Drosophila melanogaster: one gene and its partners. The protein of the gene in region 4 interacts with the protein of the main gene of each other region in a pairwise test. Each region holds a gene or a part of one and is shown on either strand. Other genes may lie near its edges.

The links.
Region 1: the proteins of l(3)neo38 (region 4) and CG13950 interact in a two-hybrid assay, tested with the Drosophila melanogaster proteins (one large-scale study listed by BioGRID).
Region 2: the proteins of l(3)neo38 (region 4) and rb interact in a two-hybrid assay, tested with the Drosophila melanogaster proteins (one large-scale study listed by BioGRID).
Region 3: the proteins of l(3)neo38 (region 4) and Doc1 interact in a two-hybrid assay, tested with the Drosophila melanogaster proteins (one large-scale study listed by BioGRID).

The regions. Positions count from the first base shown.
Region 1 is NT_033779.5:856,988-863,770, reverse strand, and holds CG13950 (uncharacterized protein), read right to left. Parts: upstream 3,575-6,783; 5' UTR 3,451-3,574; coding exon 3,362-3,450; intron 3,008-3,361; coding exon 2,414-3,007; intron 2,343-2,413; coding exon 2,075-2,342; 3' UTR 1,965-2,074; downstream 1-1,964. Other genes in the region: aru (arouser), read left to right, coding at 1-1,208, 1,273-1,452, 1,513-1,605.
Region 2 is NC_004354.4:4,533,327-4,543,198, forward strand, and holds rb (ruby), read right to left. Parts: upstream 7,301-9,872; 5' UTR 6,980-7,300; coding exon 6,338-6,979; intron 6,278-6,337; coding exon 5,449-6,277; intron 5,384-5,448; coding exon 4,160-5,383; intron 4,106-4,159; coding exon 3,318-4,105; 3' UTR 2,309-3,317; downstream 1-2,308. Other genes in the region: CG3556 (uncharacterized protein), read left to right, coding at 1-17, 199-260; CHOp24, read left to right, coding at 7,677-7,818, 7,891-8,225, 8,581-8,730; CG3568 (uncharacterized protein), read left to right, coding at 9,377-9,586, 9,652-9,796, 9,850-9,872.
Region 3 is NT_037436.4:9,037,582-9,046,406, forward strand, and holds Doc1 (Dorsocross1), read left to right. Parts: upstream 1-3,793; 5' UTR 3,794-3,958; coding exon 3,959-4,049; intron 4,050-4,247; exon of another isoform or gene 4,248-4,316; intron 4,317-4,451; coding exon 4,452-4,617; intron 4,618-5,806; coding exon 5,807-6,074; intron 6,075-6,142; coding exon 6,143-6,280; intron 6,281-6,763; coding exon 6,764-7,276; 3' UTR 7,277-7,461; downstream 7,462-8,825.
Region 4 is NT_033777.3:11,774,447-11,782,089, forward strand, and holds the start of l(3)neo38 (lethal (3) neo38), read right to left. Parts: upstream 4,683-7,643; 5' UTR 4,536-4,682; exon of another isoform or gene 4,412-4,535; intron 4,176-4,411; 5' UTR 3,233-4,175; coding exon 3,028-3,232; intron 1-3,027. Other genes in the region: prd1 (pruning defect 1), read right to left, coding at 7,374-7,493, 7,556-7,643.

The DNA of each region.
Region 1 (6,783 bases), on a different chromosome or scaffold from region 4:
GGGGCGGTGGCGCAACGGAGCGCGATGAGACTAGCTCCACGTCCAGCGAGAAGTACGAGCGGGATGTGGCTGTGCTGAATCACTGTTTCGATGACATCGAGAAGTTCATAGCTCGTCTTCAGCACGCCGCCGCCGCTTCCCGGGAGCTCGAGCGCCGTCGTCGCAATCGGAAGTCGAAGAAAAGGGATCCGGGGGAGGGATTGCTCACTTTGAGGACACGGCCTCCCCACGAGAAGGAGTTCGTGGACATCTTTGCCAAGTTTAAGCTGTCATTTAACCTGCTGGCAAAGTTGAAGGCGCACATCCACGATCCCAACGCTCCCGAACTGGTGCATTTCCTCTTCACGCCGCTGGCTCTGATTGTGGAGGCCTCCAGCGACACGTACTACGAGTCACAGCTACCGGCCCGTGTGGTTAATCCCCTGCTGACCAGAGAGGCCATCAACCTGCTCATCAACTGTGTAACCAGCAAGGAAACGGAGCTGTGGCGCTCGTTGGGCGATGCCTGGGTGATCCCGCGAGATCAGTGGAAGGATGACGTTGGATCCTACCATCCGGTCTTCCTCGATGGCTGGTCACCGGACTATTTGATCAACGATGAACTGGAGCCACCACCAAATTCCCCGCCCGCTCATGTGAGCAAGCGCAGACTCGAGGTCCAGGCTGGATCCGGACTAAATGGTCGTGGGGGAGGCGGATACGATGACTACGACTCGGGGAACGGGATGAACATGGCCATGGGTATCGAGAAGTACACCATCCACCACGGCAACGACGGTTTAAGGGAGCGGGAAAGGGAGCGCGACAGAGAGCGGGCGGGCGCAATCAGTGCGTCTGACTTTAACGCCCGCAGCGAGCTGTCGTTCGACTCGATCGAAGGCAGGGGCGGCGGAGCAGCGGGACATGGCCATGGTCATGGCCACGGACCAGGAGCTGGACCAACCCTTAGCGCCATCACAGCTGGTCTGCAGAATCTGCATACGAGGGAATCTCGCAGTGGAAACGGGTACGGAGCAGGAGCTGGTCCGGGGCCTTCGTCGGAGTTGGGCGGTGGAGGCAGAGGCCTGCCGAATGTCAGCGACGACCAGATGCTCGAGTCCTGGCTGGAGGATCTGCAGGCGACGGGCGCTAAGATTGTGCTGGTCACCTATCCGCGAACCGCCAACAACGACAAGGAGCTTAGCGTGATGCGAGGCGAATACTTGGAGGTAAGGCCAGCACCCACGTTACCATCCTTCGTTCTGTCCTATAACCATCTCTTCGAAACTTTAGATCCTTGATGATACCCGAAAGTGGTGGAAGGCGCGCAACATGCGGGGTCAGGTGGCCCACGTGCCGCACACGATTGTAACCCCCTTCAATTTCGGGGATGGAGATGGAGCCCAGTTCTACGGGCAACAGCAGCAGCCACCGACGGGTCCCACAGGTCCGGGCAACAAATCGCGATCAGGGGTGAGTAAGGCTGGTCACTCAATTCATGATGGGACTTGCTAACCGCTCTACATTACCCAGGATAATCCCGGCATGGAACAGCGATCGCCGGATCCCACCGACATGATGCGCAGCAAGCATCTGGGCAAGAAGGGCGAGTTCCGCTACTTCTAGGATCGAGATGCGATCACCATATACATATACACATATTCCGTAGTGAGGATCTAGCGTTATAGAGAGACAGACATCAGCAGTTCCGTCTAGGATGCTAGTCCTGGTCACTAGCGATCGGATTGGCTCCAATACCTTGCACTCGCTCGCAGGAGTGTGCAAACCAGAACTAACCTTAAGACTAACCTAAGTGGAGCTCCAGACGGGAGCTGTTGAGCAGCACGTGGCTCCTGCTGAGGCGGATGCTTAAGCTGATGCTCATCCAGGCGAAAAGGGGAGGCGACGGCAATAATTTGTTTTAATAAAATTATATCCAAAGGAACCTGCCTATTGGTTGATGATTATTGAGGAGATTGTAGTTTGGAGAGCTGCTTTGCTTTATTTGGATGCTCACAAGAAGAAGTTAACTGGTGCTGTACGGTGATCAAAGCCAACGATTGAACAAAGAGCATACTACGAGAACTCGAATCGATTAAATGATGGACAACTTCTCCACGCGGGCCAGAAGCGGAGAATCGGAGTGGTACTCCAGGCTCCGCACGGCGAAGTCGCCCACTTCGTTGGTGAAGCACTTCAGAGTGGATATGGAGAAGGGGCGTCCGGGAAAGTTGTAGTAGGTGAAGTACTGCCCGTTGACGGCGATCAGGAAAGCCCGATCCCCGAGCCCAAAAGCGATCTTGAAGAGCTTTCCGCGCACAAATGGGAATTCGCCCTCGGTCTCCTCGTCGCTCAAGGCAAAACTAGAATAAGTGAGTAAAGGTGAATTCTCTTGGAGGAACTTTGCATATTGGAGTCTCGGACTCCTTTATACCTGTTGTCTTCACGCTGGTAGCTGCGTGACACGGTTGTCCGATCGAAGTTCACGTGGAACCGGAGCACCGTACGCCCGGTGTCGTTGCACTGGAAGCAGATGGAGAACTCCGTGGTCGGCGGGCCCTTGGCGATGCACTCCATGGCCACCACTGTGCCGGTTTCATACCGCCTGGGCACGTCGCTCTGGAAGGCCACCTTGTCCGGACACATGAGCGTTCTGGGGAAGACGAGCGGAAAGAGCATGCGGTGGTGGAACTGGGTGATCTTCTCGAAGTCGCCGTAGGTGCGCACGTAGTTGATTTGCTTGGGGAACTTGACGAACTCGAAGGACCCGTACAGCTGGTCGTTCACGTAGATCTCGAAGCATCGCTGCAGCACCGCCACCCGGAAGGTGAAGCTCTGGCCAGGCTGCAGCGGGTTCTTTGGGCCGTCGCACTTCCAGTTCTTCGAGATCTCCTCCTGCTGCCATCCCCCGCCCGGCTGGAACATGCTGCGGATGATTTGGCCCTCGCGGAAATTGGCCTCGATCTTCAGGAACACCGTTTCGCTCTCGTTCTGCGCGTTCACATTGTCCGTGAGGTCCAGCGAAATTCTGTCCGTAATTCGAGAGGTGTCATTAGTAAAAAGTATTAGATATGGATTGGGAGGATACTCGGCACTCCCCCAAACTCGCTAAGGATACCCATTTCATTTCTGCAAATCTCTGTCACAGCTTTATAAGCCTTTCGTTGGCATTAGAACTGCATTGTTTTGTCAATAATCGGATAATTCGAATACCATTTATACTTAATCTCTTTTTACTTTTTGAACTAATTGGTTTATTTCATTTGGTTAATTTCATTTGGTTAGAAAATCAGCTTCTACATTTGACCTTTGACTTTAACCCAGATCAAAGCGGTATTCTTTTAGTGGAGAACCGGGTATCCAAACTATGAAAGATGATTACTTATTCGGATGAGGCTTGACGCGCCCACTGACGATGAGGACGTGTCCGAATGGGACCTCCGTTAGGACCTTTGCTTTCCAAACGTTCATCGCGGCTCCACGGCTCCACTGCAACTGAGTCGACGAGTGCGAATCCTCGATGGAATCCAGCCGGATCCGGCGCCGTTTTATGCGCCCTTATGCTAATAGATTCGCCATCCGTCGCCTTTCCTCGTTCATTTGTTGTGATTATGTAAAGGCGGGTGAAATGGGGAATTACCTGCAGCCGCATGCAAACTTGACATGGACGTGGATGTGGACGTGGTAAGGTTACCCCCAGGCCCATGCCCGAACCCACCCCGGTCGGAGCTCAACCCGTTCAATCGAATCCCATATAAATCCACTCGGTGGTGGCTCCCTGTCCCCCTGGCCACCTAATAACCGACCCAGTGAGCCGCGCTCCATGACGAGAACCTTGCGCGTTTATTTATTTGATTCAATCCTTGCCTTTGTAACCCATAACTGTCATCCTCGAGTTCTTTTCACGGTTGCTGTCACGCCCCCAACTGCCGACTGCCCATTTGTTGCTAGTTACCAGCGACACTGGGAGAAAAACTAGCCAAAGATAAGTTATTATCCTTATTTTTGCTTAAATATTGAATATTCAGTATTGTTGCACCACATAACTTGGGAAACCCGGAAGCGTTGTAATACTTTTTCGAAGATAAAACATTTATGATCCTAACTCGAAAAACTGCTTATCGCATAATGAATTTCCGATCATAAAATTAATTGCCCGAATAACTTTGCAAGCTACTAGTTATAAAAATACAAGGAATATGTTGTAATTGTCATCTTAAATTCATATTAAGAAAGTATAAGTGCTAGTTGGAGGAATAGGCACTCCTTGATGGTGGCTCATATCCTTTTTATATCTTACTGCTACATTTTAGTACTCCTAGTAACCACTATTACTAGAATGTCTTCTAGCCGTGTTCTCCATCTTGGCCTCTCCCCTTTTGACGGTTCCATTGTTGTTGCGTGTCTTGGGCGAAATAAAACAAGGTAACAACAATTGATTCCCTGTCTAAAGTTTTTGCATTTGCAGTAAAGTGCGACTTGGGGGCTGGAGCACTTTGCCAGCCCCTCCTCGAGACATCCCCCTTCCAACTAGCTACGACTCCAGTCCGGGTAATTCATTTCTCCTGACGTACCTTGGCATATTCGCTGAAGTTCTGTCTCCGTCTACACCTTTCGCTTTCGTCCACGTCCAAACCAATGACATCTTCCCAGGGCTCCACTCGTGCCCTCGAACAGTGGAAGGTCCTTAAAGGCGACCAGTCCATCCATCCGATCCCAGATCTCAGCCAGAGCTTTGATTTCTATTAGCCTTAATCGAACTATTTCTAAGATCAAGATCTAAGATCTAAGATCTCTTCGAAAGGAGGGGTCCTGCTTGGAGGCTTCACTGTACTCCCCCAACGAAAACGTGGCCTCTGTTTGTCTATGCCATCTTCGCTGTTTCTGTCGCTTGCACCTGATCGAATTGGGTCCAAGTCTTCAGCTTAACTCGACTTGGCTGGGCGCACTTATTTCTGGCTGCGTTTCACCTTGGAGCACCCGGGCCAGCTGGTGACCCACCCGACCCAACCATCCGAAGATGTGCCTGGCTTTGCCTGCTACGAATGGCAATCGCTAATTGGTTAGTTATGGCCACTGACAATCAATCCGTCAATCGGCAACTAGACTGCCGAATATAAACATCCGGGTGACCTTGCCAGCTCCTGCCTTTCGGATCCGACCTTTCGGATCACTCCGCCCACTTGTTCGGCCCTTCGCAAACAGAACTAATGAAATAATCGTGTCGATTTCAACTTTAATTTCCGCTTGTCACTCCAACTGATAAACCGAAAGCAAGTGGAGCAATGCGAGCAAGGTTTGTGTACGTTGCACAATTATCAGTTTGGCTTCGGCTACCTTTTTACCTTATAGAGAGAGTGCCACGTTTGCCCTACCCACAAAGCCCTTTGCCACCCCACTGCACTGGAAGAAAATAGATAAAAAAGATACCTTCAATATACCTACTTCATATATCTTCAATCATCAGCTCGTATAATCATCGACATATCAAATAAGTTTCTGGGTGGTAAGATAATTCCTCGAAATGATCAGCACACTGTGTATGTTTTTCTTTCGGTGCTCCCAGAGTTCCCAGAGCTCTTATCTCGTTCCCAAGTCAGTTTCCCCAGCCGTATCGAATCGGTTGGGGCAAAGCGACGACACGTCTACAGAAATCAGATTTTACAGTCGGCCAACTGGCGACGGATCCGCAAATCGTACAACCAATATAGTGATAATGGGTTTACGGCCCCGAGCGACCGTGCCAGCGCACCAAGTGGAGTATCCGATTCCCAGCCCCAGCCCCAGCCGAAGAGCAGTTCTCCACTCGGATTCGGATTCGGAGTCGGAGTCGGAGTCGGACTCCGAAACCCAAACGGAAGCCGAGTATGGCGGCGGATTTAATCAGCCGGCGTCTGCTATTTGGGAGCGGAGCGAATCACGTCGCTTCTCGGTATCAGTGCCAGGCTAATCATTCCAGATCGATGGGCCTTCGAGGAGGCGCTGCTCATGGGGTTCAGACCCACCCCCGATCCTCACCTGCTGACGTACCCAGTTGGGATCACCAAGCGTGGCCAACTCATTAGTTCACTCGAGCTGTTAGCAGACCGAAAGACAACTTCCTTGGGAGGTGGCCACCATATCCACCTTGTATATCCGATCTCCACCACGTGGCGCTTTAGTCGGACATGAAAATAACTTAAGCCAAACGAACAAACTTTCGGGATGATCACAGTTTGCATTCCCTTGGCCCAAGTAATTCGCTGCCCGGAAGGGGTTTCGGATGGCTCCATGTCGGAGTAGCTACACGTAGGCACCGCCACCTCCACACTGGGTGCTCCATATCTAGCCGCCGATCGGTTGGATCGGGCGGCACAATATGCACTTGTCGCGACTCGGAACGTAACTGAAACGTCGGATTTGACGGTGAAGTTTAAAACACCAGCTCCCGACCAAGAATCGGGGCCCCACGAAGTACACCCAGTATCGTCGATCGGTTGCCCATATCTCACCTGTACAGGTGCGAATGCCAGGAGCTCGGCAACGAGCAGCAGAGGAGTGGGAGCGGGAGCGGGAGAGCCGAAAAACAGAAACGGAAAGCAAATAAATATGAAATATTGAACTGGAGCAGAAAGTGGGTGATATTCCGAGATAGCACTCACATCCGAGCGTGCGTGCTGTCTTTGTATTGGCCATTAAACGCCGCTGTCAACGTAGCCGAAGGGCTGAGAAGAAAATGAAATAGAAATGGAAATGCCAGTGGAAACGGAGCTGTCGCCCCACAATTTGTCTCAATAGCTGGCCTTATCAGAACAGGTAGTGGTG
Region 2 (9,872 bases), on a different chromosome or scaffold from region 4:
GCTTATTGCGCCTGTTGGTAAGTTTGGATTTGGATTCGGGATTATGGTGAAAGATTTCTGATACAAATGAATATCTTTGGTATTTAGAGATTCGTTAACAATTCATTCAGATATTCATGTATAGAGTCAGAGAGGTTTCACTGTAATTAATGGTGCTTCCCCCCCAACTGGCGGTAATTTCGATGCGAACTCTTGCAGGTGTGGACGAGCTAATGGTCGAGGATGGGGAGCATTATCTTTACTGGTACAAGAAGCTCTAAGCACGCGGCCTTAGACGGAGCTGCAGTTTAACCCACTAAGCAAAGTCGATAAATACCCGGTGCTATTGGACTATATTTATTATATATATGGCCATAGTCACGTCTCACACACACACAACACACACGCAACAAGCAAAAAGGCACTTACACTCGCACAGGAATAGCTGTATGCTACACAGTACAGCTATTCCTGAGTAAGTGCATATATAACTGCATAATAATGGCGTAATCAAAAAAAAAAAACAAAGCAAAACAAAAAAAAAGGAAAAAAGAACACCCAAAACAATACACAGAAAATCACAAGAAAGAGTGAAAGATCGGTGAAAGGAGGTAAACTGTGGAAGCCCAGATTTCCAAGGGATAACTAGGATATAACACCATAATAGTTAATTGCTCTAGACCTCACAACTGATCTCGATTCGGAGCACCTCAGGCTAATACTTATGCATAACGATAACGATAATTAAAAAACAAAAAAAAAACGATAACAAACAAAAAGGAAGAGAGAGTGATAAAAACAAAAACTTAACGACTTAAATGCACTAACAACAGGCATCGAACGGTTAGCCGTTGACTAACGGTAGCAATCCGTCCGTTTTAGGCCCTCTCAATGCTTCGCTTCGCAGCTATCGATGCTTATCGATTATATAGTCTCGGTAATCGAGCCATAATCGAAAATATCGTTTGTGCGATAAGCGATAACTATTTCGTTGCCCATTTAAGACACCCAAAGATGAAAACCAAAACCAAACCAATGCTTTATATGTTATTGAAGTTAGAGAGTAGGGAAGGAAAGAACGATTTGAACGATCCGCCGGATCTAATAAATCTGAAGGTAGACAAAACGGGAGAGGTGGAGAAAGAGGCCATCGGGCTAGTCCAAGCGAAGCATGTTATACCAAACACCGTACGTAACAATAAGTGATTGAAAATCATCCTTAGACATACACACATACTGCATAAATCGATATATACATCTTGCATATACATTTAAAAGAAAGAAAACTAAACAAAACAAAAAAAAAATGGTAAAAAAAAAACTAGTTTTATATGAAGTTAAGCGAACGAAGGCCGTGGCATATTATATAACGTGTATACAGAATAGCGAAAACGAGAAGAGAACGATACTACCCCAGGACACTATATACAAACGCTCTACTATATGCCTGTCAAGAACTACTCACAACCCATTATTACAGCATACATATACCCATGCCATATTACCCAAAAATTACATTAATGCATACGTACATACTCGTACTATTCGTACATACATACATGCTATCTATCCCCTAATCATACATTATATAGCATCCCCAAAACCCTATATTTCTTCACTTATCACTCGGAACTTTCAAGCCGTTGATCTTAAAGCCTAGCCTAACCGAAAACTACAACTACTAAAACTACTACTTGAGATCTTTAAGTGCAGCAGCGAATCCAAAACTAAACTAAACATTACTAACCTAGCGATCTAACTAACTCGTTTATATTGATAAGCATGAAATTGAGCTTTTTAATTGTGCAGAACCCAAATTAGAACACAAGGAAATACAGCTACAACTACACCGACACCGACACCTAAAACACAGTTGGATTTGGAGAAAGCAGCGTAGGATTTGAGGAATGAGTTATGTATGTTCTATAACCCAGCATGTCAGTATGTCCAACCTCCTTCTATAATTTCCCACGGAGCTATTTTGAAGCAATCCCGACTTTCAAGCGACAGCAGCAGGAAATTGATACATAAATGCAGAAATCAACTCGAATTTTAAGGAATTGAACTAATTAGAATTCGATTCGATTCTTTTGCATTTGAAAGTTTGTCCTTGCTGACTTCTTATATTCTGTTTGGTGAGTGGAGAAAGTAACAAGAACAAGCGTGAATAAACATCAAAATAATTGAAAACTTTTGAAAAAAGCATTTTTACTTGACATGTGCGAGCGTGTATTAAACTTGATTCGTTTATCCAAAACAGGTAAGACGTTCTCAATTTTAAAATGTAAGCTTTTATTTCAGCTTTTCAATGCGGAGATTCAGCTTATTTGTTTCAGGCATATTAACAGATTGATTTGTTTCTTTATTAGAATACGTTTCATTTGTTCACTTTAATTTGCCAGAATTTGCGCTGTTTATTGTATGAATATAATATATAATATATAGATTCGATATTCGTTTGTCTTTGCTACGTTTTGAAGAAGGCCGCATAGAGCACGAAGGCAACAGATTTACAACATCAAACACTTTACAAATACGTTTCGATTACTCATACACACATTACACACACGCCTAGCTAAGTAGGATGGATTGGAGGATAGGATTTGTTTGGATCGGCAACGATTCGAGTTCAATCAATTGTAACATCTCATTTCATCTGGAATTGTTTGTGGTTGCAGTTTGTATATAGGAATATTAAAAGCGTTAGGATCATGTTTCATTTATATTTGGGCGGGGCGGTTGGTAATCCTTGAATAATTTTCGATTTGGATATGAAAGCTACACTAATCTCATGTTGTGTTCATCCATTCATAAAAGGAAATGGTGACTCTTTTATGCAAAATATCTCAGTATAAGCGGATACAAATATATAGGAAGTTGTGTGTTTCCCATTTCAATAAGTTTCATTAAGAATTTGCGAATGTGTATAACAATAAATATAGTTTTGTAGCATTTACACAATAGTTTGCATCACTTTTCATTCAGTTTTCAACAAGTTAAAGAATATGTAATAATTACAGTTGAAATTGCAATTTAAATTAGTTTTGGATTTCGATCCCACTTGAACACTTAAGTTGCATCTGTTACACTGCACATTTACATATAATCTCTCGAAAATGGAATTTAAAACACCTGTAATCTCAGCTAATGTTATCAGCTAATTTCAAAGATTACGTTCTCCCCGCCCGTTTACAAGTGTATAGCTAAATATGAATGCTATGTTTACGTAGTGAGGCGGCTTTGCCTTATTCTCAGTTGAGTAGCCCTGCTCCAGGGGATTCCACTCCTCAAGTTAGTTCGCTGCTCGCTTTCGTCTTGTTCGCTTTCGTGTCCATCGCTCACATGGCGAAACTGAGCTGCAGAGCATTGCGCAGCTCGTTGAGCACCATGGATCCAATGACCATTTTCTCGCAGTTTACCAGCAGCGTGAGGGCATCCTCTGTTTTCCAATCGAGGGTGAGTAGCACGAGGCTTTTGGAGCTCAGGGTTTGGCCGGCGAAACAGTGTAGCTGACCGCTGGAAGAGCTGTGCGTATGCGCCACGTTGATGGACTCGAAAACCTTTTGCCGCAATGCGACCACATCGATTAGGTCCTGCCTCAGGCCACGCAACTCGCACTGATGCTCATTCATTCCACGCAGCTTGGCCCGCTCCTCGCGATGACAGCTCTCGCCGATCTGGACGGATCTCACCAGCTCGCCCACCGGCGGTTTCAATTGCAGTCGTGAACTGCCCGCACTTGACAGAAGCTCCAGGTCTACAGCATGCGTCGAATCATTGAAATCGACGCCCAGCACACCACTCGCTGTTTGTTGGGGCTGGAGAACAGTGATTGGCGCAAACTCATTCAATTGCATGCCCGCCGGCAGAGTTGTTTGCCCGAGACGAATGGCCGTAATCTCTTTTTCGCCACGATTCTGGAACTGCAGCTCAATGGAGCACATGCTCGAGGAGTACAGATGCGGGGAGCGGGTGAAACGGTAGGCCAAATGCAGTCCATGGCCACTGACCTTGTTAAGCAGCTCCTTGTGCTTGAACTCGATGTGCGAGGGACCCACCAATTCCACCCGATTGCGGGCGTGCTGCGGCTGCAGTGGCGCCGCCTGTCCAGCCATCATTGGTGTGCCTATTGAAGAATTATTATATAAAGAGGCCAATTTAGAGATGCGCATCACCTTACCAGGCGTCAGGAATCCTCCCAACGAGGGCGTCATCACGGGACCAATGGGCGGAATGTCATCCAGATCGAGTAGCAGGTCCAGATTGCTCTTGACAGCCGTTTGCTCCGGCTGTTTCTCGTGCTTCTCTTTCAACTTCTCCGGCTTTGTGCCTGTGTCCGTTTTCGTTTCGTTCTTTTTCACTTCATTATCGCTACCGGAAGCGCTGTCATCACTACTACTGCCACTGTACGCTGATGAATCCTCGCTGTCCGATGTTCCTGACGAACCTCTCGCATTGTTATTGTTGTTTATAGTTGCTTTTACAGGCGAAGAAGTAGCGGCCAGCTCATTGCTTCCAGCATCGATAAGCCGCTCCTTCACCGAGGAAACCTTGGTCGGCTGCTGCTTTTGCACCTCCTCCTCCTCCTCATCGCTGCTCCCGCTGCCATCGCTATCGGATTCACTGTCGCTGGTGCCACTGCCACTGCTGCTGCCTGATTCCGAGTAAGCGGAAGACTTGTCGTCCGACTCAGAGAGGAAGCCCTTCTCGCCACCAGCACCCTTTTCCTTACCGCCTTCACGGCCGGATTTATCCTTTGAATGTCCGGATGGCGAGTCTTCACCCGGCAGCTTGTCCTGCATAAATCCAGCTATATTGCGTACCGATGAATCCGGTGGAATCACCGGAAAGGCGGGCAGTTCCTTGTAGCCAGCCGCTGGCATGTTCAGGTAGTGAGACAACGATCCTAACTGGAAGTTATTGCCATCCCGGTATTTACTCTCCGGCACCGGAGCCGGTTTGCTGGCGAGAAATACTTGGCGGGCATGCTGGCTGAGCACCGAGCTCGTTCCGCTCGCCGGAAAGATGATTTGCCGCAGAAAACGGGCACGATCGCGTACATCGTAGTTGGGATCATAGCGAGCCAGCGTAAAGACGTACTGACACAGCAACGATGTCTGCTCCGGATTGGTCAGATAGAGCTTAACGCCTAAGTTTAGGACCTGCAGCTTCACCACATCCTGCTCATCGACAAACGATTTGGCCATTTTGCGCAGCACATCCGGGGCAATCAGCGGCACCTTCTCGTTGTATTCGCCTATAAGCCAAATGATGGCTGCCCTAGCTGCGGGCACATTGATATAATCGATCAGTTTGGCCATTTGGGTGATAATCTCAAAGTGCTCGGCGGCTTTCGTTTGCAGAAGACGCTTAATCACCACCACGCTCTCGGCCACCACGTGTTCTAAATGGAATAACGGAATACTTATAAAATTAAAATACAAATGGCTAAAAGAAAGCTTAACGCACCGTCATGATTGGACAGCAGATGAACCAGGCCACTCAAGCAGGTCTCGGTAACCTCCTTAATGCTAGATGCACATCGTCCAATGGCCTGAATCGTGGCCGCCACAAACGAACGATCGCTGCTGGAGATGTAGGTTTGAAATTCGCGCAGAATGAGCGAAATACTGCCCGCCGAGGCCAGATTGGTGAGAATATCCAGCTTGAGAAGCTTTATGTGCGTGGGATCGCTGGTGCGCACAAAGAACGACTTGAGGTGCGGCTCAAAGATCGCCTTTCGTTTGGTGGACATCGAGGCAATGCAATTGAGGACCACGCTCTGAACCTCCTTATGCGATCGCAGCAGTCGTATCAGCGCCTTGGCAATCAATTGCACTTCGTTCTTGGGAGCCACATGATGATAGAGCTGCGCCACTGCCATCACCACGGAGGCATTTCGCGATTGGAGCAATGGTTTCGTTTGCCTCAACAGCAGGCGGTGATCCACATCGATGTGGTAGCTGTTGCTCGGAGAACTGGGTGTTCTACTGCCATTTCCTCCGCCATTGTTTTTATTGTTCGTACTCGACTTGTTTTTTTCGTCATCGCTACTGCCATCATCGCTGTGGGAAGAGGAGTGCGAGGATTCGTCGTAGAAGCGTTCACTAACGGGCGTTTCGCCCAGGCCATCGTTGACCAGATCCTCATCATCCGCATTGGGATCAACGAACTGAGTGCGCGCATAGCGGGTCAACATATTAATGATGATCACCTGACCCCATTCGTCCACATCCAGCAGGAAATTGCACAGCTTGCGGTAGTTCTTGTGTATCAAATCTACACGTTCCGGACAAACCTACGAATAAAGATCCGTCGTATATAGAGGATAAATGTTTTACTTTAGCTGCAGACCCACCTCGTCGAAGGCCATCACCGCTGATCCCACCACTAGAGTAGTGCGATCCGATAAAAGCTTCTCAATGACCATGACCAGTTCATCCTTTTGATCCGCGTCCAGAGAATACAACTTGGGGATGGCATGTGCCGCTGTTTTCCGCACATATGGACTCAAATCGGCGGCGCTATCCCGAATGGCCAGCATTACGATTGGCACAATCATGCTGACCCTTATGGAGGATAACACTCGCAGAGCCGAGGCGCGAATAAGTTGATTGGGATCCTTGAGCGCCCTCTGAAATGTGGAAATGGATAGCAGGGCCAAGTCCTGCTGCTCCTCGGCGTATCGCACCAAATAGACGTAGACCAACTTCTTGACCTCGATATTCTTGGACACCACATTCTTGACGACTGCCGGGAACAGATCACTGGCATCCCGTCCGCGGGCAATCATGCCAATGATGCGCTTCATGGCCTCCAGCTTTAGTCCATCCTTGTTGCTGTCCAACATTTGCTTGAGATCATCATGCTTGCGTCCATCGGATTGGAAGAAAGCTGCTCCGCTGGCAGGATCCGCTCCGAATTCGACGTCCAGTCCCATTTGGGGCCGCTCCACATATGTGGACATGGCGAAGGGATTGCTGGCCGAGTTCTGCTGCATTCTTGCAAAGATTCCCCCGGATTACCCAGATTTCGGTTGACCACTTGACCTTTTACTTTCCGTGCTGATGATTTTTTTTTTCCTTTTTTTTTGTGTGTGGGAGTTGGCAGTTTTCCCTTTCGGTTTTTGCAAATGCGTCCAATGTGAAACCTTTGTTCCTGATGTTGAATCCTCAAGACGATCTGGTGGTCAGCTGCTCGTCCTGCCACGCAGCTTGCAAGTTTTGCAAGGGATACTATTATTTATGCCGAAATTCTGGCCAATTTTTGCATTTTTTTTTTTAGCTTTCTGTTTCCTAATGGTGGGCAACTGTCGATAGTCGCCGATTAACACATAGCACAAAAATACTAGAACACTTTAACTAACTGTGATGGAATGCACCAAGAGTTTTTCATATAGGTACGCACATAAATAAAGTAATGTATTAGTTACGATATCCAATACTTTAACCGAAACATTTCGCGGCATTCATGTTGCTTTTGAATTTTTATGAGTTGTGAGTTTTTTGTAGTGATCCGTTAAAAATTCGGTATCGCGTGTCGCGTGCACCTATCGATGCCGAATCTATCGGAAACTGCTGTTCTTCGATATGCCCTATTTGTCTACATCTATCGGAGTATATCGAATCGACTACAACTACGTGGCTGCAGTGCGTTTAATAGCGATTAAAACCAGGCCAAAAGTACTAAGACAAACGATGGAATCGACACTCGCCAAGGTGCTGCTCCTTGTGGGCAGCCTGCTGATCCTGTGCCGCACCAGCCACGCCTTCATCGTCAGCGTGGACGCCCACAATGAGGAGTGCTTCTTCGAGAACGTCGAAGGCGGCACCAAGTTTGGTACGTGAGCGATATGGATTTTCGGTCAATTGACAAGGGATCTATGCTGATAAAATGATGGTGACTTTACAGGCGTCACCTTCGAGGTGATCGACGGTGGCTTCCTAGACGTGGACATCAAGATCAGCGGCCCGGATAACCATGTGATGCACGAGAGCGAAAAGGAGTCGTCCGGCAAGTACACCTTTGTGGCCCCCGCCAAGGGAACCTACACCGTGTGCTTCAACAACGAACGCAGCAGCATGACCCCCAAGCTGGTCATGTTCTCCATCGACGTGGGTGACGCACCGCAACGTGCGCCCGGAGCACCCGGCGAGGAGGAGGTGGGCCACACCAAGCTGGAGGACATGATTCGGGAGCTCTCCGGCACGCTGACCAGTGTCAAGCACGAACAGGAGTACATGCATGTGAGTGAAGAGACGAGGTGAAGATGGAGCATCCAGCTGCCACATAATCATGATTGGGGGTTTTGGAAGAGTTTAACATGTAGCAGAATTAGGGGTACATGGAATATGGGAGCAATCGAGTAACTATTGCCACATAGTCTGGCATGCCTCCAGCATTACTTGTACAGATCCACGTCGCAAGATTTAAGAGCGGAGTCGGTAGACTTGTTCGAGGGAATGGAGCTGCTAGCTGCCACATAAACAATAACTAGTAGCGATTTTCAAACACTCATGTTTTCACCATCGGTTATAATCAGTATTGACATTATTTGTGAAGTAATCCACGACTAATCCTCCAATTTCTTTACTCCCTCAGGTGCGCGACAAGATCCATCGTTCGGTGAACGAGAACACCAACTCGCGAGTGGTGCTGTGGTCCACCTTCGAAGCCCTCGTCCTGGTCCTGATGACAGTGGGCCAGGTGTACTACCTGAAACGCTTCTTCGAGGTCAAGCGCGTCGTGTAATCCCGAGCGGAAAACCAGGATGGAAGTAGCAAAGGAAGGCGGCACACGAAGCTCTGGGGGAAATGTGTGCGCAATGCGTTGCAGTCTCAGATTTAATTTAAATGATTAACATCCTTTTGTAATTTAAATAAAATACCTTGTAAAAAGTAATTAGTGCTTGAAAGTATGTCGATCATGTTTCTGTTTCGAGAATTATTAACAGAGATTGCTATATTAGAGAAATTAATATATATATTTTTTTTTAATTACCAAATATCTCTTAATGGAAACAGAACAGCAAATATTTTCAGACACACATTCAAGGGGGGAAGAGACACTTGTGAACTTTCGAACTAAATTGATAAGAACCATTTGTTTTCTAATAAATGTAGGTTGACAAGAGAAAAGTTTGTTTGCAACTTCGAAATGGAAATGGATTCTATAATAATTTCGAAATATCTGAATGGAAATAAAACAACTTTTCAGAAGCTATATTAAATTCGTTTCAAATCTTTTTGAGTGTTGGGTAGTTAATGTGACAGTGGAAATAAGTTATTAAATCTGACGTCGGTGTGCAGCACTGGATCGTCCAGTGACAGTTGACATATATTCCTATCAGCGGCGAACTTTTTTGTCCGGACTCCTAAAAGTGACTCCAAAAAGTGCGATGAGATCTTTTCTTTATATGCTCTCCCAACGTCCCAAATTGGCATGTTTGTGCGGAAAATCTATTATCATATGGCCTGGTAAACGTACAAATCTGCCGGAAAATGCTTTCACTCAGCGGATGCTTCAAGAATGTGGCCAAATGGCAAAGCCGGACGCTTCGGTGGATCTCGATAATTTCAAAGCTATTTCGGAGCAGTCTCCCGCCGAGGTATACTCATTGGAATTGGTTTCGCAAAATTGTCTTCTGACATTGATATAATCCCCCCACATTAGTTTGGCATCGATTCCTGCCGAGTGAAGGCACAGCCGGAAGATCGAAGTGACCGCATACGGGAACAAATCGCATCCGCCTATCCGGTGATTCACGAACGGACCCTCCTACTCTTTATCAGCTTCTTAGAGCACAAGCTCACGTTCGGTGGGTACAATCACAATCGAAAGAATTTATATTTTCTGGTCATCGTTTTACAGGCAGCGAGCAGGAGAAGGCCATC
Region 3 (8,825 bases), on a different chromosome or scaffold from region 4:
ATCATAGATCATGGCTAGGTTGATCAGTGATCACAGGCTGAAAATGCCGACACAGTTGCGAAATATCTGCCTGGCAAAAGATCAACCATAGATAGCCGATCGTATCGATTACACACCGTTCGACTTCTGTTGGGTTCAGGTCAATTGCCCTCGGCTTAATGGTAATCGATATGGCATGGAAGCGATACCACTGCAGCCGTCGGGAAGCTGTATCTTAAGTAGCTATTTAATGTTCTCAGATGCCGAGTCGCTGATAAGGCGATGATGGCGTCTCCTACTGCAGATGATCGCCGCGATTATCGGTAGCCCAGAAAAGCACTTTCGGTCGCCCAAAATGCATACGAGAATGCGGCTCTCTCGCGCCGCGTGAGAAATATACATACATAAATATTATGCAGAGAAAGGGCAATCAATCCAGGCATCCCCAATCATCCATCGATCGATCCATCCATCCATCGATCCAAACATCTTAACAAATTATAAGGCCCGAGTGGCGCCCTCTTGGATCGTCGTTAAGTATCTCAACTAGTAGCCGCTAGGCAGCTACAGAAAGTGATCATCTCAACGACAGGCCATCGATCATCCATGGAATACCAAAAAGCAAAAAAAAAAAAAAACGAGAAAAATCCAAATTCAAAACCCCAGATTTTGAGATTCAACGATGCTTTATGCTGGCGTGGTAGAAAGCGTGTTGGAAAATTAAATCATCGTTGCTTGTGGTCTGGACTCCCGTCCCGTAGTTACCTTTGCCTTCCTGCCTTAATGATGCTCTCGACGCACCTTGAGCACCGGCTTAGTATCTACCAAAAACCAAGAAAAAAAACCTGGGGATAAAAAAAAAACAGTGAAGATCTCTATCAGCGGGTTAACTCGTTTAGCATTTAGTTGCAGGCGCCTAACCAGCTAACTTTATCGTGTAGTTTGCATCTTGATGCCCATGCCGTTTTCCCAGGACTATGGATTCTGGACTTGGCCACGCCCTGTCTTATTAGGCGCAGACAGTGTCGTTTATATCATTTATATTATTTTATGACATTTGCCTTTTGTCCGTGGTAAATTATGTGTAACTTGTAGTTTTGGCAGCTCACGATCATCTGATCTTTCGAGCATCCAGGCAGGTGACACACGGGTTTTCGTGGCCACGAACTGGTTAATTAGGGTTGTCCATGATTTATTGATCTGTCGAACTGGGGAAATGTAACCTGTCTCAATGATTATGGACATTTATAAGCTGATGGTCTTTTAATATATGAATATGGCTGGTCATTTTGATGGGCGGGTTATATGTTAATTACCTTTTGCCTAAGAGATTGTGTGGGTTGTTCGAGAGCTTCCGTCCACCCGTATACCCAATCCAAATCCCTTCTCCCCGGCAGCTAATCTTCTCTGGCCCAATCTTATCCAGCACGAACATATGTCGTTGTCAACCTCTGGCAGCTTGACCGCTACCGTTCAGCATCTGCAGATCCAAGGCGGCAGATAGCGGACTCACAAAGATGTCCTCTGGCCGAGGGACTTGGATCGTCTGGCGCCACTTGGCTACTTGAACCGAACAGAGTACCCAGAGCCAGCCACTTGTCGCGTCCTTCTCAGTGCTCTGAAGTACATTTGCTTTATGGAGGAAGGCGCGACGAAGGACAATAGAAAATTATTACTTCAATTGGCGACAGACGACTGTGCTCAGGTACATGCATCTTGAGCAACTAAAGACACCGCCGCCCACGGGACACTTCACACCCAGCAAGGCGAGACACACCGCAAAACGACCTGTCCTGGGAATCCTTGGAATCCAAGGAGCGTGGTCACTTTATGGGCTGTGCCGATGTCGCGTCAACTTATGTGTCTCTGTCTCGATTAGGTTTACTGTCGATCTAGTTTACCATGCACCCGCATGACGCAATTACACCTGATTTATCCGAAGGTCCACCTAGTGTATCTGAACAGAGATCTGCTTGCATCCCACTGTCTTTTGTGTGACATTTCTTTGTCGGTATTTTTGCAGGCGTGAAGCGTTACATTTTCAAATCAAATCTTTTGTTCTAACTGCTGCGATATTTGTATAAAAATATTTTACGATTCTCTGGCGCCGTTCGCTGCCAGAAATCTCCAGTCATCATCATCAGCTGGCCAAGCACCGGAGATATGCCGTCTCGTCCGGATCCGGAGTTGCAGTGGAGACTGGGACATGGGAATGGGCATTACTCGGAAGAGCGTGCCAGGGCGACAGCGAAATGCTAATTTAATAGAGGCTCTTCGACATTGACTTTCTTTCTAGTCCACTGAATGCGAACTCAAGCTTGAAATTATTTGCTGGCGACGAGTCAAGGAAATAAACGCATGTCTGTCGACAGATTTGTCTGATGAATGCACTTATGAGTTGAATCAAGTTCAAGATCAATGGCATTTGAACCAAATTGTATGTAGCTTGTCCTGAAAGAAAATCGATAGATAACTAATCAAATTCTATAATTAGTTCAACTGATTAAAGTAGTAATTAAAGTAAAAGTAATAGTACTAAAAATCGCAAATAAATCTTCACAGAGTTATTGTTTCTATTTTATCCAAATACAAAAATTTGTTCAGACCACAAGAAATAAGGGAAATGATAAAGAACCATTTAAAAATTAAGTTCTATAAAAATGGTGTTTCAAATAAATTGGATTTAAGTTATTCCTTTTTCTTTAAATTACAAATCATTGCATGTTTTCAATTTGCGTTGATGAATAAGTTAAGTTAAGTAAGTAAGTAAGTCTTAATATATTTTAGAATAATATAGCTATTCGTTAACGTATTTCAGTCCAATGTGTTTTAAATGATCAATGGCTCACTAAGTATCAATTATAATACTTCCTGTGAATATAGGAATGTGCATTTCAATCTACTTCCACCCGCAGGCACTTAAGCCCTCAATTTCCAATGCTGACAAGCACTAATCAATAGGCCCTCGAGCCAGAGCCCAAAAACTATATGAATTTCGATTTTCCATTTCTCAGTTTTTTTTTTTTTTGGGCAAATCAATAGCGAGGGCATAGCATATCGAAATTCCAAAACGGGCAATTAACAAAGCCAACAAAATTTATGTTTCACCTGTCTGCAGCAAAGTACATAAATACCCGAGAAATGCCAGACAATGTCGAAGATAGGGAACCCAGCTAATTACACGGGGGCATGGCAAACGACGGAGGGACAGCGCCCAAACGGAAGACGGCTGCAATGGAAATGGCAACGGACATTTTCCGACAGCGCCAAAACCAACAAAAAAACATAAAAACGAAACAGACACACAAGAAAAAAAAAGAATAAACCGAGAGGAGAAGAAAAGGCAACGGCAGCTGAAGACAGCAGACAGGCGCGCTGTGGAAAATCTCACTTCTGAATTACAAGCAACGCCATAGCCCGGCTAAATCCACATCCATATACATACATGCATACATATATCCAAGTCTCCTAACTGACAGTGATCGAGAGGGAGACAGGGAATGCGGCTTGAAGGCAGTGGCGCAGAAAAACACTGCGGCTGATGAAAATCAACAGGGCTAAGCGTTAACTTCGCCACTCGGCTGCACGCAGTTCGCTTTTCCCGCTCCTCCGCTGCTCACAAAATGGCGCCCACCGTCGATCCACCGATCTTCGCCAGAGTGGGACAACACTAGTACCCACATAGCGTAGGCGTCTTCCGCCAGCCAATCACAGGCGCTGCCCACGGAGAACCGGTTTTCCAAGCGTAGCTGCTACCTGCTTGGCATCGGGAAAAACTGGCTGCGACCCACGGCGAGTTAGCACTCGAGCGGAGCTACTCGAGATCAGTTCGTTGCGAAACGTCGAGCGTGAAAGAACCTCAGAGCGCATCTTCAGTTACGAGCGAGTGAATAACAGTGAAGAATTCCAAACTACCAGTTATTATCAGAACGTACTAAGACATTTTACCAAGTGCTATACACCGTGCAAGTGCTTCGAAATGCTTTCCATGCAAGAGCTAATGGATATGCGGATGCAGCAGCAGCTGGCCCACGAGATCTACCGCCAGCAGATCATGCAGCGGATTCCAGGTGCGTTTCTAGACATAAGGTCTATGGGTGTTGATCGAATGCCGTCGGCAAATGGTTTCGCGATTTTCAAACTAAAAAATATGAGAAAATATATGCAACCCAAAAGAGCGTACTTAAAAGTGTTTTAATATTGTGATTATTATTAGTGCTTCGGATTTTATGAGCAATAAATATTCTACTTCAATTTAACTTATCATTATAACTAGAAATTGTGGTCATAACTGCATTGCCTTTATTTTCAATCTTTGATTGAACATATCTTAATAGGTATTATATTCCGATAAAATACAATAGATAGCGAAATTCCAGCTAACTTAGAAATATGATTTCTGCAACACCCACCTCCCTGAAGAGGTCCATTGCAAACCCATGCTAATGAACTAACCAAACCGCTTCTTCCAGATCCCTTTCCATCGATGTTACCTTTCAACATGCCCCACCAGCAGCCGCACATGATGCTGCCCAGTCGTCCCACCCTGCCCGGCGTGGAGGCCAAGTTGGAGAACAACGATTTGTGGCAACAGTTCCATAAAATCGGCACCGAGATGATCATCACAAAGAGCGGCCGGTAAGTTTCATTTTCCCGCGAACCCATTATCCTATGCAAATAGCCCGAGTTTTTCCAAAAGTCAAGTGCGTCGCACGGCCTATGTAAATATTTGCTCCTGTACCAGGGCCAACTTTCCCAATTCCTATCTCATACGAGTACGAGTATGCCTATACCCTGAACCTTTCGATTTCCCGGGCCTAATGTGGCGCCTGGCCATAACTCAAAACGCAGCAGGAGCTCTCGCTCGGAGTGACAACAAGTGCAGTGTAGTCGGCGGAGGAGAACACAAGAGCAAGACGCCGCCCTGGCGCCGGTCCGATCATAAAAATCTTTCTTCTCTCGGTTTCGGCGTTGACAATCGGGTTTGGTCGATCTACCTGCGCTTTTCACACTTTGCCCACAATACCACCATACCATACCATACCATACCATTCCATGCCCTGTCCGTGACCCTTCTCCAAAGCGATGAGACCAGACCCTAGCGTATCTCAGATAGGGGAACTATCGAACAGCGACTACCGAGCGGGAGCCGAGACAAATTTACATAATTATGATCTGAACTCGAAGTTTAAGTTGCAAATGTACACGGAAAGAAATCGTGCAACTACAAGCATTATTTTTGGCCAAGGCTTAGAATATGGCTGGGCATCATAGAAATCAAGAGATCTTGAACATAAATATATATTTGTTATATATATATATATTTCGTAATATTTTATTGAAAATGATTAATATCCAGTAGAAATATTATTTTTCTGTGCTGTTTAATCCGCGATAACAGTCACTTTCTCGGCTCATTAGACATGCATTCGACGCTTGGAAGCCGTTAGGGCGACTCCCAGATTTTGTCTAATTGCTTGGCGCCAGATTGCCCCAGCTCCTCCAGCACTCTGTTGCTCCCCGTGCTCCTCCATGAACCAACGATCCACACAATTAATCATGTGCCGTTGGCATATTGTTTTGGGCTGGCAAGATCTGTTTGCGTTACCTTTTAAATCGATGCGTTGCGCTACGCAGACTCCCCGCTGCCCTCTACTTTTCGGTCCATAATTACACACTTGTTAGCCGGGGCAACAAATCACAGGCGATATGAAGTAAAATAGAATAGATGCCCGGGCGACGCCTTCTTTTGCGATGCTCCTTCCCTGATTTATATGCAGTTCGTGGCAGGCCACTTAATCAAGTCCTATTCTTTTCATCCTTACAGACGCATGTTCCCCTCGATGCGAGTTTCCCTCAGCGGACTGGAGGAGGAGGCCAGCTATTGCGTACTCCTCGAGATGGTGCCCATTGGCGATTGCCGCTACAAGTTCTCCGGTTCCCAGTGGGTTCCGGCCGGAGGAGCCGAGCCCCAGAGTCCGCAGCGCATGTATCTGCATCCGGACAGTCCGGCGACCGGTGCCCATTGGCAATCCCAGGCATTGCTCTTCAACAAGGTCAAACTGACCAACAATACACTGGACAGCAGCGGACATGTAAGTTTGAGTGAGCTCATAGTGTATCTTTTGAATGGGTTACTTATAGTTTCCATTAACATTTCCAGATCGTTTTGGCCAGCATGCATAAGTACCAGCCACGCCTGCACATCATCCGCAGCAGCGAGCTCACCCAACTTCCATGGGCTCCTCAGCAGGCGTTCGTTTTCCCGGAGACGGAGTTCGTAGCTGTCACAGCCTATCAGGTGGGTTAAAGACAACATCCTTTCCGTCCTCCATTGAGGACATGTCTGACAGGACAAAGACTCTGCGGGGGTCGTCGCCTAATTGAGGCATTTTCAAATTTGTCGCCTAGCCAGCCACTTGAGTTTGATCCTAACGAGGATCACAGTGGAACTTTTCAAGTGCCCTCCCAGCCGACGGCTACTTACTGACGCCTCGTAGTTTAAATTTCGACCAGACAAAAACAATAGAGATCGTTTTTCATACTATTTAAATTAGATTTAAAACTACGCGTTTTTTTACATATTTATTTAATCTGCAAATCTTTTTTATAAGGCCGTAAATTTATTTATTGTTCCTTTTTACGATCTAATTGAAAATTCAAGTGTTAAAAGTAATACATTTAGAGCTAATTCGTTTTAAGAATTCATTGTTGTATAAAAACTGATAGTAATTAATCATTTATGTGCTTAAATTAATTTATAAATTTGTTCTCATGCTTGCAGAACGATCGCATCACCAAATTGAAGATCGATAACAATCCGTTCGCTAAGGGTTTCCGCGAGTCGGGTCAATCCCGCTGCAAAAGGAAGCTGAACAGCAGCGGAAACTCGACGCTGGAGTCGGAGGATGATGGCTCCAGTGTGAGCAGCTGCGATTCTCCGCAGGCGAAGCGCCAGCGCCAGGATTTTGAGCAGGACTCAACGGGTAGTGTTTCGCCAGCTTACTATGGAGCAACTCATCCAGTTGCCAATCCTATGTCGCCGTATCTCCGCCATCACTTGAGCTATGGACCCAGTGGAGCTGCCGGATTGCCGCCCAGCATTGCAGCTGCCTATTTTGGTGGAGTTCCTCCGCAGATTCTGCCAATGCCACCAGCCACATATGCGCCAACTGTCGCGCCTGTTAGTCCTGTGGCCTCGCAACCCGTTGGCTCCAGCACACCCACAACATCACCAAGGCCTTCAACCTCAACGAAAAGAAATAGCTTCAGCATTTCAGCCATTTTGGCCTATTGAAAGAAATATTTGGTAAACATACTTAAGTTGGAGTCATCTTCTGTTGTGATTAGTGAGAAACGTGTGCATATACTTTGTAAGCTAATCTATGCTACATATAAGATCGTTTAAGAACCAAGCTGCAATCATATACATTGTTAATTCGTTTTAAGAGTCTTTGGTCAAAATAAACAAATCAGACATCGAATCCGTAGAAAATGCAAAACTATTTGCGGGGGGGGGGGGAGCAACGGTAACCTTCAGCGTTTCCGTTTTTACAGGTTTTTGGCCATATCGCAGTGCCTGGGCCAAAAGCAGTTATGCGACCGCTTTGGCGGGCCTAAGACAAATTAATGCTCTCCATTATGGTGACCAGTCGGTTCTCGAGTCACACGTATCTGAAAAACATCCAACTCCGGTAGTAGTTAAAGCAATTCTCCAAAGATAAGGCGTCCATTATGAGCAGCGATTTGACGGCTTTCAGGCTGTTTGGTCTTTGCCGACTCCCAGCTCCCCTGCGATTCCATCCGCATCCCTGGGACACAGAGATGACGCAGAGGTGGGTGCACGGAGAAAAAAAAGTATCACACATTTCAATTCAACTAAGTAAGTTTTGGCTTATGGTATTGCTAATAGAAATGGTTTTTAAAGTAAATTTAAAGAAAGAAAAATTCAACATTCATCTGATCATTTCAAAATCGAAGCACTTTTCTTGCAGTGCACTTGCTGCTGTTGCCGTCTTGTGAAATTTTCGTTTTATCGCACCTTTTATGGCCATTGGCCAGGCCAAAACGAAGTGGGAGCTGGCCAAGAAACCGAAACAGAAACCGATGCCGAGTCGGTTGGAGAGACTTTGGTGTGGTCACTCCTTGTGTGCATTATCGTGTCAAATGCGACAAATCTGTCTGTGGCCCGGCGGCTGCCTTTCAGCTTGCATAATTGAGCTGATAACTCGGCGCTCCGTGGATGTGTGCGGTCCACTTTTGAGCGTTTCCTAAACGGTGGCGCCAAACATTTCGTGTTTAATATTTTTAATTAAGTTTTTAAGTGCATCCAGAAGGAGATGGGACCACAGAGAATTTATCTAGCCAGTCGTTGCGGATAGTTCAAAGGGGCAACGAATCGATTTGGCTTCCATTCATAGAAATCGATGCATATATTATGCATAATGTAAGCCAAATCAGCGCGAAATAATTCACCAGCCACACGAAGCCGCGTTTCAAGCGGCTTTTTGACTAATTTGGGCTTAGTTTTGTATTAGCGCTTTGTGTTTCTCCTCGTCTTCGATTGGATTTGTTGGTGCATAAATTTACATTTGAAATGCTGAAACAATTAAATTATGGGATTTGCACGTTTTCACCCAAAAACAAAAGGGGCCAAAACAACATCAAATCACATTCGTTGTCGGCGTCTGTGCCTCAGAAGTGTTTTTTTTTTTTAATGTTAGGTGTTTTTTTGCTGACTCGCTGCTGGCTTCTTTTTGAAAAAACGGTGGCAAAAAGCGTCAAAATTCGTAGATTATGAGATAAAAATGGAAATCGAAGTCGCTCCGGTATTGCATTTCTAATTT
Region 4 (7,643 bases):
TTGCTTTAAGGCTTAAAGTCAACGGGGGAAAACAAAGAAATAAATAATCAATGACTGCTAATATTTATTTATCTGTACCCATTCAAATGAAAGAGCTTTTGGGGGTTGGGGTGTATGTGCCCATCGTAATTGCTTTATCATGCTCACTTTTTTAGTGTTGCATACATCCAGGCAACGATTTGGGGGTGTAACCAGTCATTCACACCCACGGAGCACATACATCTATGTACTCTGCACATAGGTACATAAGTACGTACATATGTCTGCATATAAAAAATGCAAATGGTTTATGGCTGGGGTGTCTTCTGAACATTAGGGGGAGGTTTATAAAGGAGAGAGGACTGTGTCCTCGACAACAAAATACCCGGTGTCCACTGAAACCCATAATGCTGCAGGATAAAGGGTTCCAGGCATGCAATTAAAAGCTAAACGTCTCTTATATAATACTGGACACTGGATGAAAACATAGAAATTCAGTTGATTAATGGGAAAATTGGTTTTATCCCTAAACATCTTAACAAAAAGTTTAGTTTGCAATACTACAAATAACGATTGTATCTCTGTATTTGATTTCACGTGATGTGAATAGCAGTCTTTGTTTATTTTGCATTAGTCCAATATAAGTAATTTTAATAAGTTAGTACGCAGTCTGCCTTCGAGTTGATATTCATTTAAATCGCTTCTTCTTAATTATGAGCTGCTTTGGATTTTCCAACATGTGAACTCTGAGCAAACTCTCCCAATCTTGGCCAGGTATTTATCTGTTTACATTTTGAGACCCATACCCAGAGGGCGACTTCAAGGGTCCGGTCATATCTACATCTACCGCTGCACATTTCCTGGTAACCCAAAAATGATTTATACATACAAGAAAACCAGGCAAATTATCGGGTAGGTATCAAAAGATAAACCTCGAGCAGGTCACAGAGTCGCAGGGCAGCGATAATGCAGCTAATAAGCGAGAGCAGCAGGAAAATGCAGTGGCTCGAGTACGCGGGACACATTTTACCTGCCTTGGATTTGGGATCAGCAGCACACAGTCCGCCAGATACGAAATACCCAGGGCCGTAGATTACATCCAGTCGTATGTGTTGAAAGAGATAAAAGAGCAGCATTACCCACACACACTCGGCACACACTTGCAAACGCATTTTCCTGTTATGGCAGGTAAAAAATATAAAACGCTAAACTGGAAATATAATGCGTATCTCAAAAGCTGGGATCAATGAACTTAGCCAATGCAGAGGAGTTTGAGTTTGGGTTTGGGCTTGGGTCCTGCACTTTCCAATAAATGCAAGTGGAAAATATCTGTGCTGTTGCCAGGGCAAAAATAAATTATGAAACGCCATCTGGGGGATGGGGGTTGCCTGGGAATCTAATTATGCAAGCAAATGCAGCTAATTAGAATTGATAAGAAGAAGGACCCTTTGGTTAGGGGCTAGTATAGGGGTTATGTATTCTATATATCGGGAATGGAAGCGACCGACCGCCAGACCGTCCAACCGGTCACACCCTTCCACTAAAACAAAAAAAGTTGCAAGTTGGCAGGAAGTCAGTGCAATTAAAAAGGCAAAGGCAGGCTCTCGTGGGTTGGGGGTTGTAACTCACACTCAAACACACACACACTCACTCACATACTCTCGCCCAACACACATACGTATATGCATTTAATTGTATTTCTATGTATGTGCTTAAGTAGCTGAAGAGAGCGGTGAAACCCACCCCTACAAAAAAACAAAGTGAAATGCAGCAAATTCAAAAGTTATTTGAGTTCATTGCATTTTCAAGCCACGCAAAACAACAACAGCCATAGCTTACACTCACACACACACAGGTTACACCCACTTGGGGGTGGGTGGTAATGACTCAAAACATAGAGCGGAATATTCGTATAAAAAGAGCGCAAAACAAAAACAACGACGAAAAAATCGTTAAATTCTGCTTTGATGACAGGGTATACTCGTACTCGTACTAAGTCGCTCCAACCCGCCAACCAACCCCCAAAAAATTGTAGTGCGGTTTACAAATTGCCTGAAGAAGATGTCTTTGCTAGCCAGAAAGCGAGAATTTCGTAGATGGGGGTGGAAAACCCGCTTACACTCACACATGTCTTTATGCGAATGTCAGTAAGTAGATCCAGATGGAAGCCACCTTTCGCTGGGAATTCAAGGAAAGTATTGTTCGAGTTTCAAGTGGGACTTTTTTTTTAGCTGAGTATTGGAAACGAAATTTTAACTAAGCTTCAGAGAATTGAAACTATTGAGAATTATTCATAGGATTGTCATAAGGTCCTACGATTTGTTTGAAGCAAAGTATGCTAAACAGAAGGTCAAATCAAACTTTATGTTGAGATCAATAAACCTCTTTGTTCGTGAACTCCAGAATATTATTGTAAAATAATACAGCTATAAGCAATTTGTATTAATTTCATTTAAATATTTTTGCTTACTCTACTTGCTTTTTCCTGCCGTCATGAATACTAAAATATGAACCAATTGGACAATCAAGAGGTGTTATTCACCGAAATTAGAGGTTGTATATTTTTTACGTTTTACTATTCTCATTTATGATGATCTTAATCATAAGTTATTGCAAGAAGTACCCGTTAGTTTTTGATGACTATCAGCAGCCCGTTTAGTTTATTTTTGAAAAAGAAGGCTATCCAGAAGTTGCCATTCCAACAAGAGTAGTGCCCTTTGCCCCAAAACAAGACCCTCTGTGTGTAGGGCATTAGGCGAGGCAGTAGCCGACCCCCTCTGCCACTGCCTCTGTCAACGACTCTGTCTCCCCACCACCACCGCCACTGTCGCTGCTCGAGTGAGAGTGTATACCCCCTGACGCTTTGACGCCGGCGTCGCTGCCCGCAGCGGGCGAAAATAAATCGATAAAAATAAAATAAATTTTTAGTGATTATGTTATACAGACACATGTGCCTGCATGTGCATTGCAGGCGATTGTCTGTCCGTATGTGTAGCCACATTGTAAATGTTGTATAGTATAGTGTAGTGGTGGGGCAGATGCACTTACCGTTGGGCACATTCTGATTAAAGTGATTGCCATTGGTCTGATATCGCTGCACATGGTTATCGGTGCCGGCCGCTGCCGCTGCGGCTGCTGCATTCGCGGCAGCCGCGGGGGGCGTGCCGAAGGCGCCCGGCGTCTGGGCGTCGAATTTAGCGGCAAATTGGTGGATGCCGGAGAAGGGGCCGCCGAACGCGGAGAAGTTCATCATGTCAGGATCGGGATGATCGGCGGGGTAATGGATAGTAGTTCTAGGGCCTCGAGGGGCCCTTTTGGTTTAAGCAAGACAATCTTTCGAATCGCTTTAGCACTAAAACTCGATCGGTCGCTAATATTACTTGCAATTCTATTTCTTTTCTTTTTTGTAATTATTTTCTGCACAACGCGAAACGATGACGAAGTGTTGTAGTGGGTGGTGGCGGTAATGGTAATGATGGTGGTGGTGCGCTGGTTGTGTGCCTTCTGTTGTTGTTTTCCTGTTCTCCGCCGTCGCTGGTGGGGGTTGGTTTTCTTTTCTTTGCCTCCTTTCCCCTGGTCGCACTCATACACTAGCACTCACACAGAGGCACATAGACACACGTACGCGCTTACGAGCGCACAGTTTTATGCTGTGCTTTGCTTTTTCGGGGGTAGAAAAGCAGAAAAGCGGGCCCAAACACAACACGTACACACACACACACACTAGCTCGCACACGCGGAGAACCACTTTCGGTTTCGATTTTGATTCTCGATTCCGCTGGATTCTGATTCCGATTCTGCTTCTGCTTCGCCTCAGCTCGAACTAAGCACGCACACACAACCGGCGGAACGGAGCGGAATCGCACTAAAGTCTCGCTTACGATTTCGCTTACGACCGGCTCGTCGAGGCTCCGACATCAAACTAAAAGTAACATTACAACGAGGCGAAAGAAAGCGGAAACACTGGGCCAGGCAAAGCGACGCGGACGCGGACGGCGGCAGCGCTGCGACGCAAATGACAGTGACAGTGCCCAGAGGCACGCTGGGTATATCGGTTGGGAGGTATTCGCACCCCTTTTCCTCGCTTATGGTTTAGATGGTTTTTAGTTTTTATATTTCGTTAGAGGGCTAATGGCACTCGTTTTCATCCAATCTCTCATGGTTACCTTTATCGGTAGTTTAGATGGGTATTTTACCTATAAGTTGATCGTTTAATTAGTTTTTCAAATTATTTAATACATATAATAAATAGAATGTTTTTAAATCAACCGATTGCTAATGATAATTTTACACCCCTTTTAGCGCTCCTCTTGTTAAATATATTTTTTTTAATTATTCCCAAGATCATGTTAAGCATTGGCAATGACCCCCCGCATTTACTGGGTAGCAACTATTCGTCTACCAACCAATTGCACGACTGCAGCATTCTTACATGTCTGTATTAGTTCGCTGTGTGTTTGTACGACTGTCTGTATGTTTGTGCGCTGTGTGCCGCTTTGAGGGTGGAAGTTTTTCTACTTCTCTGGAAAATGCGCGTTTATTTGAACGTTCCTTACATTTCGCTGCACCGAGTGTCGGGCATATGACACTGGTCCCAGGCCCCTGCTCCCGAAATTGGCTTGGTCACTTGGCCAGATTGCTGGGCAGAATATTCATGCGCGATCCGTGCAGGCGAAGTGCAATTTATGCTGGGACTGAAGCCGATACCGAGCTGATCCGAACCTCATAGCCAGACACGCAGTGAGACGAGCCACGAAATTCGCTGTAAGTTATCAGGATGAAAACCGGTTGGGAGCGAAGCATAAAAACTGGTTTCCAGCGAGAGATGAGCTACTTTTTGTGACCGCCGTCGAGGCAACAACAAATGTATTGACAACGTCGACCAGGATGACTTTTTGAATATCTGGATTTGGTTTAGGCACAGCAGAAAGGGCCATTAAGATTGCATTTATGTATTTTAATGGTAGGGAATAAATTTATTTGCATAACAAAATTCTGGATCTTGATCACTTTGGATGCCCTAAACTACTAAAACTACTATTGTAGTTCTTTGGAGGGTAAAAGGATAACCTGCTTTTAATATATTTCCTGATAATGGCTACCTTGTTGAAGAACATTTTTTAAAAATATTACATTATATCTGGGTTTGAATATAGCCTTTAGGACTCGAAACAATCATAATGAAATTTCTTATTAACTTGCAAAAAGGGTACTCATAGATCGACGTAGAGTGTCCACAAGAAAAACGCACATACAATGCGCCTTGTATTTTTATTTGGTTTTCCAACTTTTTGGGGTTGTGTGGTATGGCTGTGCACTTATACGTTTACATGTGAATATGTCAGTTTGTAGCGGCGTATGTACGATGTGTTTTCAAGTATCTATGTTTGGCTATATGCTTGTGTGCATGTATCTGGATCTGTTTGCCCACGGACATGTGTAGACGAAGGGAAAGGAGAGGCCGAGAGAGCAGAGCGTTCTCGAGCGCATTGCTCTCGTTGCATTCAATTCTGCCTCTGCTGTATGTTGTATTAATGAAAGTGAGTCCAGCGGCGAAAGAAAGCAGGCCGTGGAACTAAGACAAGTTCTTTTTTTGATTCCGCTTCTGCCTCTGTTCTCCTGCCTTCTTGCAAGTGTTTTCATGTTTTCCAAACCCACATCTAGGGGTTCGAGATCGGTAAAATAACTCCCCCTAGGAGTTTCGACCCATTTTCAATTAGTGATCCCTCTTCATTATGAATTTTGATGACAGATAAATACTTGTATGTACATACATATATATGTACATACATATATACCCCCATTTACATAAGCTTAATTAACGGAAATATTTCTATAACCTAGAGATATAATAATATGCGTATGACTTCTTTTTTTAATAAATTTAAGCAATCTCTATTTATAATATTAACATTATTAAGTAACAAAATAAATGCGCAGGAGACCGGCAAGTCGATTCGACTGCACCTTAATTTTTATGTGTTAATTCACATATACACGTGCACTTGCATAAGCGCCTGTGTGTGCATGTCTGTATGTCTTTTCTCATTCTTGTTTTTTCCTGTTGCAGTCTTGTCTTCTACTCGTTTAATACAGAGGGTTGGAGTTTTTTACGTTCTCTCACATTCTCCTTGTTTCGTCTCTCACTCACTTGCTCGTTCTCTCGTCTTCTCTCTTTCTGCCGCGCTTGAATCTTTGAATGCAATGCTTTGTTTAGCTTGATTTTCGAGCAATTGCAACTGTTACATGTGTTATCTAGAGTTTATATGCACATTTTCCAATTATTAATTACTGCCGATCGACGGAAGATACAAATATTCTGAGTATCGAATAATAGTTAGAAAACTCGATCACCGGCACTATCAAATATTTTGATACTCTCACACTCATGGGTACAGAATGTACCTGCAGATACTTCGATATACCGATGTACATATACATATGTATGTACATAGTTGTGCACATGTACACAATGTATGTTGATGTTAGGTTATTTGTATGTAACTTGTTTCCTTATTCAGCATCCTCTCCAGACCCCCACTCCATCTCCCCCACACTCATTCGGAATATAGGGTCCCACACAGCATAAACCCGACTTAGAGCCCAGAAAACCCTTTCCTCTGTAAACCCTTTCACCACTTGCAATTATTGAAAATGTCAAGGACCATCAGCGAGCTCAGAATAAATAAAAATTCGTTTTGTAATGGCGTTTATTGGTTTTATTAATTATCATGAGCTTTTAGTGGGCTGAAAGGCTTACAGCGAAATGTCGGGCGTTGGGAGGGGAATTTAATCTATGCTAATTGAAAAGGAGAGGCACAGCATTGCAAAATAAGATTAAGTCCACCATGCACACTTTTCCTAATACACATTTATAAATGTTTGTTTTGTTTATTTTATAAATAGCCACATATTGTTTGTCGTATATCATATGGATATGATCCTTGGACCAAAAGAGCACCCCCAAAACATAACATTACCGATTGATTACATGTCCAATATTCGTATAAGTTAGATTATGTATAATATTTTGTTTCTTATTATCTGTGCAATATTTGTACACAATGTATTTATAAAAGGTAAGAAATAACGAATGTAGAAAATCAATAGAAACTAAATATCCTACAAAAGAGCATACCAAAGATCAGCGACTTTAAGTTTAATATCACAAAAATTATTCAAATGAGATGTTACTAAGCGCAAACGAATGAATGAGTCAAGCGGAGGCACGCATTACAAAATCATAATACATAATACATACAGACTATATAAATATCAATACTTTTTGTTCTTTAGCTATTTGAGTATTCAGGATAGAATATTTAACGCTTGAGTAATGTATATGGAAATATAATTTTCTATTTGTAAATGGAGTATATATGGCCAGAGCCACGTTAACCCAGCGCAGCTGATAGCAAAGGCTCCCAGGCCCTATTTGTGTCCATATAAAGTTTATTATATTGCTCGGCCAGAGAGTCACCGTCGTCTAGTATGGTTATTGGAAATAGATCGTTCTGTAAAATTAGAATATTTCGTTATTGCTAAGGAAAGGTTTAGTAGTCAACGAGAAACATACATTCTTAGACTGCCAAAGCTGCTCTAGCAACCGCAGGAAACGTTGCATTTCCATGCTGCTGGCAAAGAATATAACCAAATCGTCCTGG